Arabidopsis thaliana: one gene and its partner. The protein of the gene in region 2 interacts with the protein of the main gene of each other region in a pairwise test. Each region holds a gene or a part of one and is shown on either strand. Other genes may lie near its edges.

Region 1 (5,907 bases), about 16 Mb from region 2:
ATATATATCTTGTTGTATGTGTGAATGCATCTCCACATCTTGAGATTTGGTTGGTTAACATTGGGTTAAATGTGAACGCGTCTTTGGAATAGTATATAATAATAATTTAGACGCGCGTTTGTTAACTTTCAAACATTTTTGTGAACCACGCTCCACCAAATAAGACATGTGGTGGACGTTGCAACTAGATTTACGCATCTTGATGGGTTTCCAAAAATGGTAAGTAGAAATTGGTTTTCTCTCAAAAGCACCATTATTTAGGGTTTGGGAATGAAAAAAGTTTGTATCTTTATCGTTATGATTTTACTCATGCTAAACCAAAGGTTTCTTCATCGCGTTTTGGACTTCGTCTTATCTACCGCCCTATGTGTTACATGATACGACATATATGATACCCAGAAAAAAATTCATGTGTGCGGGACAAAAAGCCTCAGATGACTTTTGATTTTGAAAAACTATGATCATTTTTAAAAAAGTTGTAGAAATTAAATCATTTTGAACTATTCGATGCAACCAACCTATCTAAAAATGAAGTAAATTCCGCAATTTTAGATAGATGGACATCCTCAGATCACATCCATTTAAACTACCATAATACACGTAGATGGCTCTAGACCTCTAGTAGAAGATATGATACTACTATCTTTGATATGTCGACATTGGAAGATACATTTTACACCGTAGAGCTTTGTGGATATTTCGAAAGTAATTAGTGTATAATTCAAATCAATTAAATTTAGATATATAAATGTACCATTCTAATGCAAATCCTTTATAACAAAAAAAAAAAGGACTTTCCCAAAGGCCAAACAAATGATTGTTGACATTGACCACACGATCGTTTAGAAACATCACAAATTTTCAATCTCCTCCTAGTCTCCTAGGCTCATACCACTTACGTTCGCATGTTACATACCTTTTTTGAAATGGCCAGCTCATTTTTGATCAAATGAATACTGGATTTACAATGGGAAAAAATTCTGCATCTATGTTCTTAGATTTACAAAATAAACTAGAAATGTTCGTTTTAGTATTTTCTTTCTATGAAATAACTTGTTGTTTTATGAATTATGAGTCTAAAAATGGCATATTAGAACCAAAAAAGATTAGCACATGACATTTCAAAATCTTAAATGGTAACATTTTCAAGATTTTTATTCTATCATTAGTTGTTTCTATCATGACATTTCAAAATCTTAAATGGCATATTAGAACCAAAAAATTATTTGTTTTATTTTGTACGTACAATTACCATATTTTTATTCATTGTCATAGTTGTTCAGGTGGATCTTAGATATTTCAAAGTATAAAATTTGTGATCGTATTTTAGATGATTACACACATATCACATATGTAATGCACATAATATTTCCAAATTAAAGGTAAAATATTATTTTTACCGGAGTATGTATATATTCAATCCAGATTATTTTTAAAAAATTAGATTTTTTTTGAATGATCAGTCTTATCAAGAATTCAAAAGATAGTGTTGTTGTCAATCAAAATTACTAAAAGAAAATTGTTTAGTCAACATATATACGTACCTTAATAAATATTTTTCTTAGAATCTAAAGGAATTTACAGATGTTAAAATAAAATCCAATAAAGTGTAAATTTACCAAACAAGTAAAGACCATTTTTCAAAAAGAAAAAGAAACCAAGGAGACCAAATTATGATTGAGTTTTACAAAATACAGAAAATAAAGAAATTAAATAAATATCAAAAACTCAAAAGAGACCTCTCTTCTCTCTCTCTCTCTCTCTCTCGCTACTCTCATCTTCACCGTACGCTTCTTCGATCTACGCTTCTCTCTAGCTATAGCTTCCATTGTCACGATTCCTCCCAAAGCGTAGAATGTGGAACCCTAGATACCTCAAATTCAGCTAGAGATCTATCTACTTTCACCTCTATTACTTTCTACTTCTGAAACCCCTCATCAGAGCTACACACAGTGATGGGAAACTGTTGCAGATCTCCCGCAGCAGTTGCTAGAGAAGACGTGAAATCCAACTATTCCGGCCACGATCACGCCCGCAAAGACGCCGCCGGCGGTAAAAAATCGGCGCCGATTCGAGTTCTAAGCGATGTTCCCAAGGAAAACATCGAGGACCGTTACTTACTCGACAGAGAACTCGGCCGCGGCGAGTTTGGTGTCACTTACCTCTGTATCGAGAGGTCCTCGCGTGACCTACTCGCTTGCAAATCGATCTCCAAGAGGAAGCTTAGAACTGCTGTGGATATTGAAGATGTTAAAAGAGAAGTAGCGATTATGAAGCATTTGCCTAAGAGTTCGAGTATTGTTACTTTGAAAGAAGCTTGTGAGGATGATAATGCTGTGCATTTGGTTATGGAGCTTTGTGAAGGTGGCGAGCTTTTCGATCGGATTGTTGCGAGAGGTCATTATACGGAGCGTGCTGCTGCTGGTGTTACTAAGACTATTGTTGAGGTTGTGCAGCTTTGTCATAAGCATGGTGTGATTCATAGAGATTTGAAGCCCGAGAACTTTTTGTTTGCTAATAAGAAGGAGAACTCGCCTTTGAAAGCTATTGATTTTGGATTGTCGATTTTCTTCAAGCCAGGTCTGTTACTGCTTTTGATTTTAAAGTAGATTTCAATTCTCTAGCTTTTATTGTTGATTATTAGTGTTGTTGTAGTGGAATACTGGGTCATAGAGGGAGCTTCTAGTTTATTGTAGGATTTATGTTTCTTGATTGATACATACCTTTGATGTATTTTGACCAGTTTATTTGGTGTTGATGCTGTTTTTGTAATGCTTACATATGACCAGGTGAGAAATTCTCTGAGATTGTTGGGAGTCCATATTACATGGCACCTGAGGTGCTTAAGCGGAATTATGGACCCGAAATAGATATTTGGAGTGCTGGAGTGATTCTTTATATTCTCTTGTGTGGAGTTCCTCCGTTCTGGGCAGGTCTGTTAACCCCTTCCTCTCTTCTCTAGTCTTTCGATTTCCTCTGCCGGAGCATTTGCTAGTTTTTCGATTCCTCTGCCGGATTCTTATAATACCTTAGCATGCTAGTCTTTTGTAAATTGTAGTTTCAGCCAGTTTTTTCTTTGAACCACAGAGTCAGAACAGGGAGTTGCTCAGGCTATTCTGCGTGGAGTAATTGATTTTAAGAGGGAACCGTGGCCAAACATTTCTGAGACCGCTAAGAATCTAGTCAGACAAATGTTAGAGCCTGATCCAAAGCGTCGGCTGACTGCAAAGCAAGTGCTTGGTACATAGAAGCTACCTTTGCCTTATGCTCTTTCTCTCTGCATCTGTTATTATCTCTTTTCCCAATTACTTCACTGATCTGGAGATACTCCAAAAGATTTTTTTTATGCTTATTCCTGCTTTTGTTATTGTTTCTCATTTGCTAGAGCACCCATGGATTCAGAACGCAAAGAAAGCTCCCAATGTTCCTCTTGGAGATGTTGTGAAGTCGAGGTTGAAGCAATTTTCAGTGATGAACCGATTCAAGAGAAAAGCTTTAAGGGTTTGTTTATCTGATAAACTCTCATTCTTAATTACTTGCATGAGTCACTTCTTAAACGGAAGATATCTTTACTAATCTTATTCAAACCAGGTTATTGCCGAATTTTTATCTACGGAAGAAGTAGAAGACATCAAAGTAATGTTCAACAAGATGGATACTGATAATGATGGTATAGTTTCCATTGAGGAGTTGAAAGCCGGACTTCGTGATTTTAGTACACAGCTAGCGGAATCAGAAGTTCAGATGCTTATTGAAGCGGTGCACATATCTTTCCCTTCTACATCACCGTACATTTATTACTGATTGCTTGACTGAAGAAGTAGAGTCAAACTTCTTTTTGCATGATCTTATCATTCACTTCCCGCTTAATTTTTCAGTGATCTTTTTTTGTTCACGTTCACTATCCAGGTTCACTAAAATATTGTCTTGATAATTCAAATTTGTATAAAACAGGTGGATACTAAAGGAAAAGGAACTCTAGACTATGGAGAATTTGTAGCAGTGTCTCTCCACCTGCAAAAGGTAGCAAACGATGAGCATCTCCGCAAAGCCTTCTCTTACTTTGACAAGGATGGAAATGGGTACATTTTGCCCCAGGAGCTTTGTGACGCCTTAAAGGAAGATGGAGGAGATGACTGTGTGGATGTCGCCAATGATATATTCCAAGAAGTTGACACAGACAAGGTAAGTGTCAAATCTTCTGTCTATGGTATGATCTCATCATGTTCAAAAGAAACTCAAAAGAGCTTTCTTTTGCAAGAGTGTTAGGAAACCAAAGTTGTGAGGAAGTCCTAAAAAGGCACAAAGGACAGGAGATGTGACTTTAAATCTTTTTTCTTTTTGCGCTATTTGTTTGATGATAACCAAACCATTTGAATTTACAGTTTTACACATAGGTAATGGAAACATGCTTTGCAAAAAGTTCTTAAAAGCCTGAGGACAAAACATGTAGCTTTAAACACTTTTTTTCAGTTTTATTCTTTTGGCATTTGTCTGTTGTGTAAGCGGTCCCCATAAACTAAAGGCAAAAATGATTTCTCTGTTGTAGTGGAAATACTATCTGTAGAGAGTTCACTTCTCATATCGTTAAACAGAACCTTAGAGACTATAGTTAGTGTAAAAATGTTTCTTCTGGTTGTGCCTGACATGGATTTTTGACATTAGGATGGGAGAATAAGCTACGAAGAGTTTGCGGCAATGATGAAAACAGGAACGGATTGGAGAAAGGCGTCTCGTCATTACTCAAGAGGGAGATTCAATAGCCTAAGCATCAAGCTAATGAAGGACGGGTCTTTGAACCTAGGCAACGAATAGCGAATCAAAGTGAAGAAGCCGCAATAGGGTCTTTAGTGTCTGTCTCTCACGCCACGTTCTCGTGCACGTCAAGTATTAAACCAAGAGAAGGTAAAACTTGGGATTCAGAATTCATATCTTTTTGTACATCTTTCGTTTTTTAACCTTTCTATTTTTGGTGATTATGTTATCTGTGTTCTTTTTTTTATTGGTTTATGGGTTGAGTTGTGTTTGTTTAGTTTGTTCTGGTAGAAATCCAAAAGACATGAGAATCAGTGTTTGATGTGTAGAAGGAAAAAAAACCAAAGACCATTTCTGGTAATGATGTTGTAATATTCTTTTGTCTTCCTTAACCTCTATAATGATATGATGAGTCATTCACACAACCCTATCCTCTATTTTGCGCAAAGTTCTAAGCGATGATGACTTTGTATCAATCGGTAATATAATGACGCTTGTTTCAAATCAAACACGAAAGCTACCTAGTACCTACTTTTTCCCATCTCAGCTCTGAGTATCAACATCAGTGATTACACTAGCAATCCCTGCATTATTGACCTGCAAACCAAATCAAATAATCACTCAACGTTATACAAGAATCTTAACCAACTCTTATGAGCCTTTCTTTATTGGAGATCAATCACTTATCTGATAGGAACAAATTAACCACAAAAGGGACTTGCTTTCTTGTCAAAAGGTTACCAGTAACATCCTAGCTAGTGCCAATCGTTTTCAACAAGATTTGAGATTTTAGATGCTAAATCCAAAACCTATTTCATACTAAGTAAACTGATAGAGGATTGTACTAATCATACCAAGATATCCAAGTTTTCCAATTTTAGTATTCACAAATCTGTATGTAAAGAGTTGTGACACATGGAGCCGATGAATTATGAAATATAATATTCTGATTATAAAGGCCTTTGTCTACAACTTCAAGTCCCTTTTTATCAGCTCTAGAGGTCAAAACTACGCTAATCATTTTGCTACCTAATTGTCTGCCAATATTTAGCCCAATCCCTCTGTGTGCAGCAGAAACTATATCACTAGGTTATTGCCTTATTGGATTGGATATTTGCATTGCATTTTAGAATCCAATTACAATGTTGTGTT
Region 2 (4,921 bases):
CAAGATCTGATCAAAAGAACACAAATTGACCTGATCTGATCTCATTCCTAATGATCATAGACACTAAAAGTGAAAGTCAAATCTCTTTATAATCTAAGACTTGGTTCTCTTGTGCAACGACAATATATAGGATTTGATCACTCCGGATCAGGCAATGATTTTAAAAACTCCGAACACCGATGGAACAAGCAAAAACCCTACTCGGGTCGATGCAACGGATGAATCTTGCACAACAACAATCAATCTGCCACAAGAAAAAAATCAAAATTTTCAAAATGGGAAAATCGAAAGTTTAAACGAACCCAACACAAAGAACGATGCAATGAACCGAATCCAGACAACAGAAATTGTCTGAAAACAAAGAGATCGATCTGGGATTGAAAAGAAAAGGAACAATATTGGTTTGGTATTTGTCGGAAAATAAGGGAGGGAAATCGAGAGAATGCTTAAAAGCACTACATTTGCATAAAAAGCTAAAGGGAGGTGTAATCTTGTTCGATAAGTCAATTACGAAGAAGATGAAGATGATGAAGGAAATTGATTGAACGAGTTTGAAAAACGCGTTTGGGTTTAATAATCATCAGCGAATTTTGCGTTCTTCTTGTCATAAATTATGAATTTGTTTTCTATTACCAACTCGTTCCAGCAGCAGCAGGCGATAGAATAATCAAATTAAATTTTATTTTGTCAAATTTCTCAAGTAATGTAAGTAACCACTAGGTTTGATTGGATTTGATCCACTTAAAGTCTCAAACTTTATAAGAGCATTTATAATAACAAAATTTATTAACTGAATTTTAAACTTGTTAGTTACAAAAAGGTGTGGAATACTGTTCACATCCCAATAAAGTAGTTTGTCATGCAAATTGCAAACCAAAACTACGGGTCAAAGATTGTAGTGATAGATTTCAGTTTCCAATCATCAGCTTTAGCTTCCATTGTATTTGTCCCATATAATAACCATGGTCTCTCAAAGAAGGAAGACAGGTTATATGTATGATCCGCGATAACTAACCGGATATCGCTTTGTAGCCTTCCTTTTCCAGTAGTTTGGCCAAGGAGTTGTCTCCGGTTTTAATGATTCTCCCATTCTCCTGAAACCCAAGGAAACATACATGAGCTTACCAAAATATATATGATCATTGTGTAGCCAGTAAAGAAGGCTGGTTTGGCAACAATGCTCACCATGATATGTATGAGAGTTGGTTTGATGTAGTCAAGTAGGCGTTGGTAGTGCGTTATCATCAGAACAGAGTTTTTTGGTGTCAAAAGCCCGTTCACCGCCTTTGCCACATCTTGAAGAGCATCAACATCCAACCCTGAATCAATCTCGTCCAGTATAGCCAACTCAGCTCCAAGGACCTGCAAGGACAGGAAAACGTTGCATTAGCGTACTTCCATGACCTCTTTCCATATATTGCTTACAAAGAATAGGAGACTAATAGTGTTCTCATGTTATCGATAAACCAGAAATGACCACTCCTTGGGAGGCAGATATTTCAAGATCAGGAAAATATAAAGAGATATGAAGACATATAACATGCCATGTCTTTTTAGCTAAAACTGCAGTCAAATACTTGTAATAGAATACTAACTGCCATGCAATAACCGCGTCTACTTATGGTAAAACCTGTAACTGCTTAAGCTAATCTACCCAGATATCCTGAAATTCCTAACTATTAGCCTTGTGGTTTTGCACACTGTAGCATGGAACAAGCTTAGTAATCCACTACCTTCTCTAATCACATTTGTTTCTTATCATATGCAGTCCTTATGGATACTGAGAAACAAGGGAAGCAGAACCATTACCGCTAACTGTAGAATCTCATTGCGTTTCCTTTCACCACCACTAAATCCTTCATTGACATTTCTGTTGAGAAAATCGGTCTTCATATTCACAACTTCGAGTTTTGATACCAAGTGGCTGTAGAACTGCATGAGCCATGTGATATCAGTAAGACATAATACATAGACAGTTCTACAATTGGGACCATTTAGCAAACAACAACAAGTAAGAAACAGTGCAAACCAAATCCAAGTCATTTAATTCGATAAGGCACCTGGATTGGATCAAGCTCTGGCTGACCAAGCTTTCTTTTCCGAGCATTGAATGCCATATTCAAGAAATCCATATTGCTAACACCAGGGATCTCAACTGGGGACTGGAAACTCATAAAGAGACCGGCAAGAGATCTATCCTCTGGTTCCATATCAAGTAGATTCTGCCCTTTAAACACAATACTCCCTCCCGTCACTTCATAATCGGGATGACCAACAAGAACCTACAAATAATAAGACTCTCACTAAGATAACAAACAGAAAGAGAACAATACTCTGCAGCATCAATGTTAATCCTGAGATACAAGATATACAAATAAAATGTTCACCTTCGAAAACGTGCTCTTTCCTGAACCGTTCTTCCCCATCACTGCGTGAACCTATTAGCAACCACAAAAGAAGCCATGGATTACAATCGGCAGCAATGCAAAACAAATCCACACAAATAGAATTCACAAGTTATGATATCAAACTCAAAACTTTATCATATAATGAGACAGCACTACCAGGCAAAGCTTTCTGCAAATTAAATTTCAAGTCTTAACCATAAAATTGCATTGATTAATACGCACCTCTCCTTCGTAGACAACCAAATTGACGCCTTTCAGTATCTCTTGTCTCGATTCAGCAATCACTGCTCTCAAATCCCTAACTTCAAGCAACGGGATCCTCCCCACGTCATCACGATCTTCCACCAACGAATCCGAATCGACGGCTGAGGATACGGAAGACGCCGAAACAATAACTGAACGGCGAGTAGTTCGCAGGATTGGAGCGGCGGCGGAATTAGCTCGGAGATTGCATAATAGAACACGAGAGGGTGAAGTCCCGAGGCGAACTCGCTGAGTAGGAAGAGGAGGAGGAGAAGAAACAGTTGGAACGAATTGAGCTATGGAGTATGCGTGACGGAGCTGTAGGTTAACGCCGGCCATGGAGACAGAAATTGCGGCGGAAGAAGACGGTGGAGGTTTTATCCGGTGAAGTGATGTGGTTAGTTAGGTCCAGGGATTCTTTTAATTTCACATGTTGAATGCCACGTAATATATATATCGGCTACTAGCTTAATTAAAATGGAAACAAAAAAAAAATGGAAATAACAAATAAAACGACATCACTTTGTGTTGATACGCATATTCTTCAAAACCTTAAAAGCTTCTTTCCTTGAAGTACAAGAAACTATTTACACATATGAGACCTTGGGATGAAGAAACAGACAAAGTCCATACCCTAAAGCAATCCTAAACCCATACCGTAATCTCAAAATCTCTTCTTACCTCTCTTTCTATCTTATATACATCATTCAAACATTTTTTATGTTTTCATATACAGTTTGATTCATTTATTTCGTAAAGGCTTTGAACTTTTTGTCCTGATATAGTGTGATCTATATATAAACATATATGGCGGCGATTTTCAAGAGACCAAGGCCGGGAGGTGGCCGTCATCCGCCACCGCTGGCTCCGACAGTGAGTAGTTTCAAGCCGAGAGCTCAATGGACTAACTCCGGATCTTCCATTTTCCTCTACGTTAATCTTCCTGGTCTTTTTTCTTCTCTCTTTCTTTCTTTTTGTTTCTTGAGATCAAACTTTAATTGATAACAAACTTTATGAATTTCTCGTTTATTGTGTGGAACCGGCAGGGTTTTATAGGGATCAAATAGAAATAAAAAAGGATGAGAGGACAAGGACTGTCCAGATTCAAGGCCAGCGACCGCTCTCTGCTCAGACTAAGGCTCGTTTCAGTGAAGCTTACCGTGTCCCTGATACCTGTGACATGACCAAATTGAGCACCTCCTTCTCACATGGACTCTTGACCATCGAGTTTCCAGCAATCGTGGAAGCTAACAAACAGGAGAAAGCAGTCCAAGATCAGGAGAAGATTGGACAGAGGTCTAATCAGGAGAAAAGTGGAGGGCCTGGTCCTAATGGGAGTACCTTGGGACGAAAGAAAGCTTTGGAGGAGGAGAAACAAGTGGGAACAAGTCAAGAGAAAACCACTCCAACGTTGAATGAAGAAGCACCCAAAACGTATAAATCAGTGGTTGAGGGTAAAAGAGCAGTGCCAACGGGCAGTCAAGAGAAGTCTGAAGCGAAAGTTAAAGCGCGAGAGGCAATCCCTAGCTTAGGGGGAAGAGAACGTGCGAAAGAAGAGAAGGTGGTTGAGAGAAAGGAGGCTGCTCACATAGTTCAGCAAAAGATAGGAGATAAATTGAAGGAGGAAGAGGCTAAAAGTACACCAACCCTTGGTGGTAGCTTAAAACCTAAGGTACAGGCAAAAGAAGAGAAAGTAATTGAGAGAAAGAAAGATGATGATATAAGTCAGCTTAAGACTGGACAGAAGGTGAAGGAAAAAGAGATTAGCAGAACGCCGACCATAGATGCTAGAGTGGAATCCAAGGAACATGCCAAAGTTGTTGAGAAAAAGGAAGATGGTGAAATAGGTCAGAAGCTGGAGGGAGGAAGGATTAACTTGGGACCAAAGAAAGAAGATAAATTTACAAAACCAGTTGTTGGTGATGAGGCAAGAAGAATAGAGAAGAATGTTGCTCAGAGAAACCAAGCAGAGCCTAAGCTAAAAACGAAAGAGGGAGATGAAAGAATCAAACTGGATGTTGATGATGGCGTGAGAAACAAGCAGGATGAGAATAATGAGATGGTTGGAGACATGGTTAGTGAAGGAGAGATTCAAGACAGAGTGGAGCAGAAGAAGATAGACGAAGCTGGTTTAGCCAAAGATAGAGGCGATCTAAAGGATAATGCTGAAGTCGTGGAACCAGAAACCGGTCCATTACTAGTCAAAGAAGGACAGAAGAAGAGCGACATGGATCCTCCTCTTGCAGTAGGAGGAAGAGGAATGGGTGAAG

What was found.
Region 1: the proteins of NAP7 (region 2) and CPK13 interact in a protein complementation assay, tested with the Arabidopsis thaliana proteins (one large-scale study listed by BioGRID).

The regions. Positions count from the first base shown.
Region 1 is NC_003074.8:19,230,712-19,236,618, forward strand, and holds CPK13 (calcium-dependent protein kinase 13), read left to right. Parts: upstream 1-1,646; 5' UTR 1,647-1,955; coding exon 1,956-2,580; intron 2,581-2,789; coding exon 2,790-2,933; intron 2,934-3,087; coding exon 3,088-3,240; intron 3,241-3,385; coding exon 3,386-3,501; intron 3,502-3,591; coding exon 3,592-3,759; coding exon of another isoform or gene 3,760-3,804; exon of another isoform or gene 3,805-3,820; intron 3,821-3,954; coding exon 3,955-4,185; coding exon of another isoform or gene 4,186-4,269; exon of another isoform or gene 4,270-4,397; intron 4,398-4,665; coding exon 4,666-4,815; 3' UTR 4,816-5,180; downstream 5,181-5,907. UniProt on the Arabidopsis thaliana protein: May play a role in signal transduction pathways that involve calcium as a second messenger.
Region 2 is NC_003074.8:3,334,315-3,339,235, forward strand, and holds NAP7 (non-intrinsic ABC protein 7), read right to left. Parts: upstream 3,133-4,921; 5' UTR 2,991-3,132; coding exon 2,631-2,990; intron 2,439-2,630; coding exon 2,388-2,438; intron 2,283-2,387; coding exon 2,061-2,282; intron 1,933-2,060; coding exon 1,810-1,932; intron 1,363-1,809; coding exon 1,186-1,362; intron 1,095-1,185; coding exon 1,011-1,094; 3' UTR 690-1,010; downstream 1-689. Other genes in the region: AT3G10680 (HSP20-like chaperones superfamily protein), read left to right, coding at 3,459-3,597, 3,698-4,921. UniProt on the Arabidopsis thaliana protein: Essential protein. Required during embryo development, especially at early stages. Involved in chloroplast differentiation.